Oryctolagus cuniculus: one gene and its partners. The main gene of each other region encodes a partner of the protein of the gene in region 3 in a complex. Links are inferred from orthologs where the notes say so. Each region holds a gene or a part of one and is shown on either strand. Other genes may lie near its edges. The genes, in order: POLR2K, POLR1F and POLR1H.

Region 1 (3,689 bases), on a different chromosome or scaffold from region 3:
ATCAAGTACTTGAGCCAGAAACTGCTGCCTCCCAGGACGGCCATCAGCAGGAAGCTGGAATTGAGAAGTGGAGCTGGGCTAGGCCAAACTCCTGCCCCCTGGAAAGACAGGGAAATCCCAGTTGAATGTCTCAAGTTGGTTTGTGGAGATGCAACCACACAGTTTTAACTTCTGGAAATGAAAGGTGAAGCTAAAGTTCTCAAGTTGATGGATGGAGTCCTACTTAATAAGATACCAAAGACACAGTGCATGTGGGGGAAGCAAGCCTGCTTCTACAATTAACTTTATAATAACTGTTAACAATTATTTCTGGGGCCAGAGCCGTGGCGCAGCAGGTTAACCCCCGGCCTGAAGCGCCAGCAGCCCATGTGGGCGCCGGTTCTAGTCCTGGCTGCTCCTCTTCTGATCCAGCTCTCTGCTATGGCCCGGGAAAGCAGTGGAGGATGGCCCAAGTCCTTGGGCCCCTGCACCCACATGGGAGACCAGGAAGAAGCTCCTGGCTCCTGGCTTAAGATCGGGCAGCTCCGGCCGTTGCTGCGAATTGGAGAGTGAACCATCAGATGGAAGTCCCCTCTCTCTCTGGTTCTGCCTCTCCTCTCTCTGTGTAACTCTGACTTTCAAATAAATAAATCTTTAATTATTTCTATAAAGTTGTAATAATTTCATTTTCTTAGCTCTGCTTCTATTCTAAGTAAAATATCTTTTGTGAAAGAAGTAAATGAATGTAAATGTTCGAATCTAATCGGCATTTATGCCACTGAATATTCTTTGAAAGAATGCAACTCCCACAAGCACGTCTTTTTTTTTTTTTTTTTTTTTTCTCCTAGGAATACATGGGACCAAGGGAGGGCCAGTGAACCGCTAAAGCTACCAAAATCCTTTAGCTTTAAGTGCGAGGTGTCGAGGGCGCTGCCCCGCAGGTGCGCCTGCACTGTAAAACGAGTAACAGGCGTGGAGGCGAGGGAGAAGCAAAGGGCTGGAGAGCAAAAACACGATCAAGCATGACAAGGACGGGAGGCGGCTGGCACACAGCCCCAGCACAGGTACCCAACAACCTGAAAACAGCCTAGAATGTGCTTTTCTACGGGGTAACAAAAAAAAAAAAAAAAAAAATCACTGGTTAACCGAGTCTAAGTCATCAGAGGAACGGCGCGTTCAGGATTCCACCGGCACTTGTCACCTCCGTCCCTCTTAGTCTCGGTCCTTCCGGAAAAGCGTTCATTTCCGCCAATCTCACGAGTCAGAAATACAAACTTCCTTTGAAGAACTGTTAAAATGATTTTCTTTCCTGAAAAATGAGAATAGCTAAGTGTTAAAAAATGTGCTTGATGTCCACAGAGTCCGTTGCGAGCAAGAAACTAGTTTTAGAGTCTTGCGCAAACTCGGTTTCCGGGCCGGGCCGGGGCGGAAGGGGCGGTGCTCGTCTTGCGTCACAAGCCAGCGCCGGAAGTTGACAGCGACACTGCGTGTTGGGAGCAGATGCGGAGTTTCTCCGTTCTACGCAGGTAAGGAGTTATGGGGCTGGGGTTTAGGTGTGGGTATTTGAGCCAAACCAGAAAGACACTTGGGGGCTAAGAAGGTCCAGTGCGAGGTTAGAGTCAGGAGATGCTGGTGGAGGAGTTGGTGCCGTCAGTGCTTTGCCTGGTTTCTTTTAGTTGAGCTGTTTAGCCATTGGGAATTATTTTAGTATTCTTCCCGGCGGTTAGTCTGTTCCGTTTTGGAGGGATATTCATGTGTTAGATGAGAACTCGAGTTTTGAGCCGAATCTGAATCCTTTTGCCTGCGCAAACTAGTATCTCTCAGCCTCGCTTTCTTCGTGTATAAAACAGGAGTGACACTTGAGGGTTGTTGTGAAGATTATAATGAAGGAACAAAATGCGGATCATTTTCTGTCGTGCCCAGTTTGGGGTCGACTCTCAGTACTTGTGTGTGTCTGTGTGGTTTGCCCCTTAGACCTAACTCCCAGGCACGGAGAAGAGCGCAGATGAGGGGGAACTGGGATCTCTTTCAGTTTTTCCTGAAAAAACAAGGGGAGGGAGGGCTGTTCGGGTTTGTGAGGAACCCCTTTGAAATACTGAGGATTTGATTCTGTGTTTGCAGGGACTGACAATGGACGCCCAGAAAGACGTTCAGCCCCCAAAGCAGCAGCCAATGATATATATTTGTGGAGGTAAGGATAACGCTACATAAAGTAAGAGTATTTTGCTTAATTTGTTTTTGAAATTATTACATTTATCCTTTGAATGAATGAGTCATTGGTGTTTAAAGTTATAAAGGAGCGCCTCGTAGCACCACTTAAAACTCTTATTTGCTCTGGAAAAACAGCATTGCCCACAACTCTCTTCTTTCCCATTTAGTATATTTTGTAATATCATACCCTTGCCTGATATGGTTAAGATAATTTGCCTGTCTGCACTGTTTTCCTTTTAAATTTGAGTAAGCCTTTTTTTTTTTTTTCTCCCTAGAATGTCACACTGAAAATGAAATAAAATCCAGGGATCCAATCAGATGCAGAGAATGTGGATACAGAATAATGTACAAGAAAAGGACAAAAAGATGTATCCTTTAACTCTACTTTTAAAATCTGAGGTAGGAGCCAACTGTAGAGTGATGCAGGGGTTGATAGACACTACTTCTGGTAGAAACCGTAAGAACTTTGGATTAATTAAAGAGATATTATTAGCATTTTTCATAGACAAGAACTGAAGCACTAAATAATTGAAATACTAGTTGATTTTGATTCTCATAAGTTTATTTTCCAGAGATTCTGTATTTACATAAGAACTGATTGTTCAGCTTGACAAATAAATTATACAAGGAGTAATACAAATATTGTGTATGCTACTTAGTAGGAAAAAGTGGAGCCAACACATGAGACTAAACACTGAGAGTGAGTTGTAATTTTCTAACATAACTTTTTTAAAATCACAAGTTATTACCTTTAGCATTCAGTGCTTTTTGATACATTGGGTTTTTTTTCATTGGTTGGGAAAAGTGCTAATAAAAATTGAAAGCTTTTATTTACTTTATATCTAGTTGTTGTAATAAATAGTGAATTCCAGGTCTTTGTGCATTTTAAATTAACAAACTAGCTTGTTGCACATGTAAAGTGATTTGGAAGTCTTCAGTCTTTTTCTGTAATTTTCAACTACATTTTTTTTTTCCTTAACTCAGATGAATACAGTGGTGGTCTTTGATGCGCGTTGAAATGTGCATTCAGAGGAATATCTTCATTTGTACTTGCATTTGCTGTTAATGTTTCTCATTGTTGTATGGCTTTTGGTTTAGCATCTTTTTGAACTACGTATGATTTCATTTTGAACCATATTGTATTTAGGTATCTTTTAATGTAAAGAAGTTAGATTACATGACTTATAATTTAATTTTATTGTTTATGTAATGTGACACAAATGAAGGTTAAAATTACTTTCTTAAACTATGCTTGCAAGCAGAACCTAGAATCATCTGGGGTCTTTGTGAAAAATGCAGATTTTTAGAGCCCTCTGAAAGTCTAATTAAATAAATTCCTTGGAAATCACTGTGTCATGAGATGTTTGTGAAATTTCCAGTGTCTTTGGTACAGAATGTAGCAGTGTGTTTGCTGTCAGCATACGTATGTCATTTTAAGTTCAGTTTTTCATATACTACATGTCCTGTGGTAAGTAATAGGCCTTTCTGTATACTGTATG
Region 2 (3,746 bases), on a different chromosome or scaffold from region 3:
TAAGTGCAGGACCTCCTGGGGTTCTGAGGCTAAATTCATCTTGTACGGGTGACGTTTCCCCTCTTCCGTCACCAGAGGAGACCAAATTTTCTGTTCAGATCTTGCTATGGTGAGAGTAATGTTGTCCGTGCAGCCCTTGATTTTGTTCTGAGCTTCCAAATGTGTCATACTGCTGGTATTTTCCCCATCAATGGCTGTGATTACGTCTCCGATTCATAAATTAGCTAAAGCAGCCCTGCTTGCGGGAGTGACCCGAGAAACGGAGAGGGGCTGCTGGAAGTCCTTGCAGCCCACGAGAGGGAAGCCCCATGGTCCAGGGTCCTGGGGGACTATCTGCTGGGTGCTAACGGCGCAAGACAAGTGGAGTCACATTGGAACACCAAAGCCCCACCTAAATCTGTACTGACAGAACTATGGGTCAAACTGATGATTGCTACTTAAATCCACGGCATTTGGGGGGATAGCTCATTATGCAGCAAAAATGGCATTTTTACATGGCATGTACATGAAATAATTTTGTATGGAAATAATTATGCAGAGTTAAAAATGCCATCTAACTCTACAGTATAAAACACGAATCTGATCATCTCCGCGTTAAGAAGGAAGACATTTGCCCAAAAAATACAAATCTAGCAGGTGGCAGAGCCACAGCAAGGACCCAAACTGCGTGACTTCACCTGGCTGGGTCTAGAAATAAAGGACTTCTTGCAACAATCAAAATACTCCGAACCAGTTTCTGATTGTTCTTTTTCTATATAAAACCATGCAGACATTGAAATCATTCGCACTCATCAATGTACCTGCAAGATATAAATGAGCTTAAGTCCTATACAAATCCGAGTGCCGGAACATATTGCTTTGCAACCACCAGGGTTTCTATCAGCAACTCTCACATTTACACTGCTCCACGGGCGATTTGCTTGCAAGGAATGGAAGCCACATTAAGGGGTCTGTGAGCGCCGTGCCTGCATAGGGCTGTGCATAGGGCACGCCACGGTCACGTCGCTCAAAAGACCTCGCTGCTCCTCGTGGGAAGCGTGAGGAGGGAAGCCGACCCGGACAGATGGTGGACGTGGCTTCAGACCGCATAAAATGCCATCCACGTTTACTTTTCATTTAGTGCTCTCCCACAGCATGGGACAAGGCTTCGCGCATGCTCCATGTGTACCAGGGCTCCCAGTTCCCCGAGCCCTAGAACAGAGAAGAACAGACTGCCCCCTGCTGGCCACATCTGTGTAGGCAGGGGAAAGACAGGCACCCCCCCAGGGGCGTGGCAGCCGGCCGATGACGTAGCCCCGGAGACAGGCACGACGCGGCCGCGTTGCGTCACTGGTGCGCGCCGAGGGAAGCTTGACAAGACGCATGGCTGCGGGTTGCTCGGAGGCCCCACGGCCGAAAGCGGCCTCTGAGGGCCAGGCGGTGGCACCGGCGGGCGCCGTGCCTTGCCTGGAGCTGCCCACCTACGCTGCGGCTTGTGAGCTGGTGAACAGCCGCTACTCCTGCTTGGTGGCCGGGCCGCACCGCAGGCACATCGCACTGTCGCCCCGGTACCTGAACAGGAAGCGCACCGGCATCCGCGAGCAGCTCGACGCGGAGCTCCTGCGTTACTCGGAGAGGTGCGGGTCGCGATGGCTTCCAGGTCCGCCGTCTGCCCCTCAAGGCCGGGGCCGCTTCCAGCGCGGCTCCCCTTTCGCAGGCGAGGAGCTGGGACGCTGGCTCCGGAGTAGACCAGGGGTCCGGAGACCCCGTGTAGCCTGGGCCTGTGTGGCGTTGAGCGTTGCATTTGTCCGCTTCCGGGTATGCCTTTGCGTTTGCGGTGAAGATTCGGCGTGCGGCGCTTCCACATCTCCCGCTTCCGTGGAAGATTGCGCCGGTAGCAGGGGCACAGCAGTTCGATCTTGCGAGGTGTGCGGGTGTCGTTCCGGCCCCGGGAATCACCCGGAGTTGTCTTTTCGGGGTTCCAATGAGCGCGAGGGAATTGCCATTTATTTTGTTTTTAAGAGAAAATAGTCTGTTTCGTTTTAACTGGTGAGCCTGTTGCTTTTCGGAGTGTGTGTGTCGGGGGGGGCCTTCTAATGCATTTAAATTACGGTATTAAAAAGTCGCTTGAAAACTCAGAATTACTGGGAGGGGGCGTGGTGCCTCAAATATTGCCGTGAACTGGTTTGGCTCCAAAGAGGGTCTCCACAACCAGGGTGGATGGATTCCCTGGGGACCTGTGGTTGTCCTTAAGGAATTCTGGGAGCCTGCAGAAATACCGGGATTTAGACGTCATCTAGAGCATGCACCGCTTCCTCAAGGGATCCCAGACCCCGCACGTGGGGACTTGAGATATAAAAACAGCCAGAAATTAAAGGAGCTTTAAACTGTCGCAGGGATATCGTGTCAGCCAGTACACCTAGCGAGTTTATGAAAAATCTGATTGAAATCGAAATGGAGTTAGGCTGAGAGTTAGACAAGGGACAGTGAGTTGGATCTTGGGATGTTTGACAAGAGCTTCACGGAAGAGGGTGCTTTGAGATTCTAGAATCCTAGGCAAAGAGTGGCATGCGCAGATGGGTGGTAGATGTGAATGAGTATGCGCTAGTAGTGCGAATGCTGCATGTTCTGAGTACCCTCCAGCTCCGAGACTTGGCACACTCTTGATAGATAGCCACAGTGGGACATAATGCACTTGGTAGCATCAGAGGAAGGTGAAATAGAATGAGAGAGCAGACAAGTTAAATTGTCCAAGAGACAGATGATTGGAGAGCGTGGATTTGAGAGAGATAAGGATGTACAGATAGTCTTAAAATCTGGGAACAGGCAGCTGCGTTGCTGCTTTCTGTAGCCAATTATCTCCCCCGATTGAGGCGGTGGGGTAAGTCGCTCCGAGTGGGCCCAGTAGGAGCCATTAGTCCGGAATTACGGGGTACTGAGTAAATGACCATTTAAATGACTGAATTGGACTTTACAGCCAGGTTGAGCAGGGTGGTCTGAACAGATCCGGACCCTGCCTTCTGCTGTTACTTGTGGGACATGCTGGAGACTCGGTTTATTGAGTGTAGATTCAGTGCCCCACATGTTGAACATGCATTGTCCTTCGTTAGGGACAACATGTTGATCAGATTAAGAATTACAATATTGAGAATTTATCTTGTGTAGTTGTTTATGTTTCCAGATTTTTGAGTCATTCTGAAGAATCAGTAGGGCTTGCTTCTCCCCGTTTAAATACTGGGAAAAACAGAAGAATTTCAAATGGCTCTCATGACAGTATGTAAGTCGTTTCAGTGGCATCTCCTATTTAACAGACTGTCTACCTTCTTTCCCATTGACAAAATTTTTAAAAAGGTATCTCATTTCAACTTTAGACTGTCTTCTTAGAGAAAGTAAGTAGTTTTCTAGAATCATATTGTCAGTTTGGATTAAGGTGTGCTTTTGAGAGACCACTCGGGGAGAGAAAACAATCTCTGTTCCAGTAAACTCCAAATAACTCTTTTGAGTTATTTGAAGATGGCAAATATGTTCCATTCCATTCTAGAAGTTCCAGAGACTCAAGGGTACAATTGAAGCATCCTTAAACTTGATCTAATTGTTCCCTAAGTATCTCAAGTGAAGTTACCACCTTGCCCCGCCACTGATGTAGGATTGTTTCTGAAAAACAAAAGTAAAATAGGAACATTTATACAGTGTTGGAGTATCTGTCTTTGCATTTTTGAAGGCTTTTGGTTAGTTACATGATGTGCATTGCTTTCCCAAAGATTTGC
Region 3 (3,746 bases):
GTCTACCATCATAACTTCAGCAACAGACTTCCATCTGTTAAGACAGATAAAATGGCCGGCGCCATGGCTCACTAAGCTAATCCTCTGCCTTGCGGCGTCAGCACACCGGGTTTTAGTCCCGGTCAGGTCGCTGGATTCTGTCCCGGTTGCCCCTCTTCCAGGCCAGCTCTCTGCTGTGGCCAGGGAGTGCAGTGGAGGATGGCCCAAGTGCTTGGGCCCTGCACCCCATGGGAGACCAGGAGAAGTACCTGGCTCCTGCCATCAGATCAGCGTGGTGCACTGGCCACAACGCGCTGGCTGCGGCGGCCATTGGAGGGTGAACCAACAGCAAAAGGAAGACCTTTCTCTCTGTCTCTCTCTCACTGTCCACTCTGCCTGTCAAAAAAAATAAAATAAAATAAATAAATAAAATGACATCCGATTTCATGGTTAAGTGATATTAGGGGCTTGTGATTTCCCCAGCATTTCCTAACTTTTTACTAGGGTTGTCTTTCCTTTATGGCAGGGAAAGACAGACAGGTGCCTCTCTCCCAAGTAAATTCACATCTGTCCTTTAGAAAAGAGATGGCTCCAGAGCTTGCACACGCAGGAGCCCCACAACAGCTACAACTGGATGGTGGTGGGAGGGCTAGAACCAGGAAACTCGTATAGAAACTGTTTCTTCAGGTCAAGTCTAAGCTACTGACGCGTGAAAATGGTGAGGTCTTCTAAAGATCCTTATTCTCATGTTTTATAAACAAGGAGCAACTCAATTAACCACCGACTGGATGACCACGACTGGAGGTGAGGGACCAAGTGGAAGACTGAAAGCCAAACTCGACCCAGGTCTTAGCAACCCCTGCCTACAGGCGTCCCCGGCCTAACGCCAGGTCCCTGTGGTGTCTGATGCCCTCCGAGGTCCTCGGCCCAGGGTCCCTGTGGTGTATGACCCCCTCCGAAGGCCTCGGCCCCCTCCCAGGCGTGCCCCTTCCGTCTTTCCCGTCCGGCCAGCGGAGCCCAGCGAGTCTCAGCACGCTTAGCTACACCCTCTGCTCCGCGAAAAAAGGGCCGCTGGGAACGGCGGGACCTGTACTTTTCTAATCCAACGAACTCTTGTTTTCTGGGGGCCCCCGTGAGTGGGAAGCCAGTGAGTCAGATGCGAGACAAGGAAGAGGAATACCCCACTACTGTGTCCAGGTGGGAAAAGGAGCCGGAGGCGCAGTGCCAGCGACTCGCCTTCCGGTCCACCACCACGAGACCAAACGGCAAGTGACGCAGCAAAACGCGCTCCCAGCCCGTCTGCCCGCCCTAAACCCCCCGCTGTGGCGCGCGAGGAATAGTGACGTCACAGCAAATTGTGCGCCCGGACGCGTCGGCGCTCTAGCCCTCGGCGCGCTCGCTGCCCCGCCGCTTGCGCACGGCCGGCGCTCTAGCCCGCGCTACCCGGCCCCTCTCGCCTGCCCTGGCGGGGTTCCGCGTCGCCGGCTGGTTGCTTGGTGGCCGAGGCCGGAGACGTACGTGGGAGGAGGGGTCGGGTTATCTGTGCCTAGGTGCTGGGGCAGACAAGGGAGGCCCCCTGCGTGGGGAGGGTGCGGCTCTCTGGTGTCCTAACGAACTGGTCGTTCCCTTTCCAGCATTCCGTCGCGTGTCCGTCATGGACGGCGCCAGCACCTGCCCCAGCTTTCAGTCGGACTTGGATTTCTGTCCGGATTGCGGCTCGGTCCTGCCCCTGCCCGGAGCTCAGGATACGGTCGTCTGTACTCGCTGTGGCTTCTCCATCCACGTGCGGGGTGAGGGGCGGGGGCCGGTGCGCGGTTTGGAGACCGGGGAGGGAGAGCCTTAGAGCGGGCGCCTGGACGTCTGGTCTGCGGAAGAACCCTGAGGGAGGCAGGCAGGCCTGGCGGGGGCGAGGCGGCCGTCCGCGCCCTCCGCTGGCCTCCACAGCCGCTTCTTGCTGCCCCGTGCAGACTTCGAAGGGAAGGTCGTGCAGACTTCCTTTGTGTTCCACAAGCTGGGGGCAGCCGTGCCTGCGTCGGCGGAGGAAGGGCCCGAGTTCCAGGGACCCGTGGTGAGTTACTGAGATGGAGGGCTGGCTGCAGAGAGGGGCGTGGAGAGGAAGCGGAGGGGCGAGTGCGGGGTCCGCAGAGTGTTGCACCGACTTCCAGGAAGGCGGAGAGCCTGGGAAGTGAGGGGCGCGCCCCCGCCTCCTAACGCACCCCTTCCCGGCCAGGTTGACAGGCGCTGCTCTCGCTGTGGCCACGAGGGAATGGCGTACCACACCCGGCAGATGCGCTCAGCCGACGAGGGGCAGACCGTCTTCTACACCTGCACCAGCTGCAAGTGGGTCTCCGCTCCCCTCCCTCTGTCTGCGCACTTGACATGTTCAGTGGCGTATTCTTGTACCACACACTTGCTTCCATGATTCCATCCCTAATAGGAAATACTTGTCTTTTGTATATCCAGTGAACTCAACCGTTTACTATTTTGTTTTTTCATTAAAAAACAAGAGAAGGCTGGAGTTGTTCACTGCAGCCAAGGTAGCTTGACCATGGTAAGAATTAGTCACACGGGATTTAAAGAACAGCAGCTTTCTGAATGGTTTGCAGAATTTAGTGTTCTGGTTCCACTAGAATATATCAGAGTGTTGTGGGCCGGCGCTGTGGCGGAGGAGCAGGTTAAGCTGCCGCCTGGGACACCAGCCTGGGTTCATGTCCTGACTGCTGAACTTCCAGTCCCGCTCCCAGCGAATGTGCCTGGGAAAGCAGTAGAAGATGGCCCAAGTTCTAGGGCCCCTGCACCGACGTGGGAGACCTGGAAGAAGCTCCTGACTCCCGGCTTCCTCCTGGTCCAGCCCCAGTATTGCTGCCATTTGGGGAGTGAACCAGTGGATGATCTCTCTGTCTCTCCCTCATTTCTTTTCCCCCCAAGGAAATCTTTTATTTGATAAGTACAAATTTCGTAAGTACAGCTGCAGGAATATAGTGATTCTTCCCACCATACCCACCCCACTCCCAGCCCACCTCCTCCCTCTCCCATTTCCAGTCCCCTGCTCTTGTATCTCCCTCTCTGTAAATCTGCCTTTCAATCAAATTTTTTTAAAAAAAAAATAAAGGATATATCAAAATGTAGCTCGCTTTTGTTTATCCTGTTTGGAATTTTATTGGACTTTCTGAAATGAGAATTGATGTATTTCTCATTAACTTTGAAAAATTACCAGCCATTATCTCATTTAATACTGTCTTTCTCCCATGTTTTTAATTCTCACATACTGGAGTTCTAATTGTTTATTATACTTTCTCCTCATCCTCCCATTTTCCTCACCCTGTCTAAAAATTTATTCAAAAGGCAGAGTTATAGAGAGGCAGAGCCAGAGAGAAGTCTTTCATCATTGGTTCACTCCCCAAATGGCTGCCACAGCCAGAGCTGGGCCAATCCGAAGCCAGGAGCCAGGAGCCTCTTCCTTGTCTCCCACGTAGGTGCAGGAGTCCAAGTACTTAGGCCTTCTACTGCTTTTTTTTTTCCCTTTGCCATAGCAGAAAGCTGGATCGGAAGTGGAGCAGCTGGGACTCGAAGCGGCGCCCATCTGGGATGCCGGCTCTGCAGGCAGCAGCTTTACTTGCTACTCCACAGTGGTGGTGGCCCATCAATCATTTTTTACTTCTCAGTTCCTTAATTGTATTTTAAATCTCTTTTTATTTTTTAAATGTGTATTAGATATATCAAACATGTTTACACCATAGTAGTAGGGGCTTCAGTTTTAACTTACC

The links.
Region 1: POLR1H (region 3) and POLR2K share a complex: the UniProt entries of both Homo sapiens proteins name them as parts of the pol I pre-initiation complex. The link is inferred for Oryctolagus cuniculus from reciprocal best matches to the Homo sapiens genes POLR1H and POLR2K.
Region 2: POLR1H (region 3) and POLR1F share a complex: the UniProt entries of both Homo sapiens proteins name them as parts of the RNA polymerase I (Pol I) complex. The link is inferred for Oryctolagus cuniculus from reciprocal best matches to the Homo sapiens genes POLR1H and POLR1F.

What each region holds. Positions count from the first base shown.
Region 1 is NC_091437.1:125,592,927-125,596,615, forward strand, and holds POLR2K (DNA-directed RNA polymerases I, II, and III subunit RPABC4), read left to right. Parts: upstream 1-802; 5' UTR 803-1,505; intron 1,506-2,100; 5' UTR 2,101-2,109; coding exon 2,110-2,170; intron 2,171-2,465; coding exon 2,466-2,558; exon of another isoform or gene 2,559-2,589; intron 2,590-3,184; coding exon 3,185-3,207; 3' UTR 3,208-3,538; downstream 3,539-3,689. UniProt on the Homo sapiens protein: DNA-dependent RNA polymerase catalyzes the transcription of DNA into RNA using the four ribonucleoside triphosphates as substrates.
Region 2 is NC_091447.1:11,751,587-11,755,332, reverse strand, and holds the start of POLR1F (DNA-directed RNA polymerase I subunit RPA43), read left to right. Parts: upstream 1-1,297; 5' UTR 1,298-1,362; coding exon 1,363-1,616; intron 1,617-3,746. UniProt on the Homo sapiens protein: Component of RNA polymerase I (Pol I), a DNA-dependent RNA polymerase which synthesizes ribosomal RNA precursors using the four ribonucleoside triphosphates as substrates.
Region 3 is NC_091436.1:140,425,077-140,428,822, reverse strand, and holds the start of POLR1H (DNA-directed RNA polymerase I subunit RPA12), read left to right. Parts: upstream 1-1,303; 5' UTR 1,304-1,493; exon of another isoform or gene 1,494-1,529; intron 1,530-1,613; 5' UTR 1,614-1,633; coding exon 1,634-1,769; intron 1,770-1,946; coding exon 1,947-2,047; intron 2,048-2,209; coding exon 2,210-2,319; intron 2,320-3,746. UniProt on the Homo sapiens protein: Core component of RNA polymerase I (Pol I), a DNA-dependent RNA polymerase which synthesizes ribosomal RNA precursors using the four ribonucleoside triphosphates as substrates. Can mediate Pol I proofreading of the nascent RNA transcript.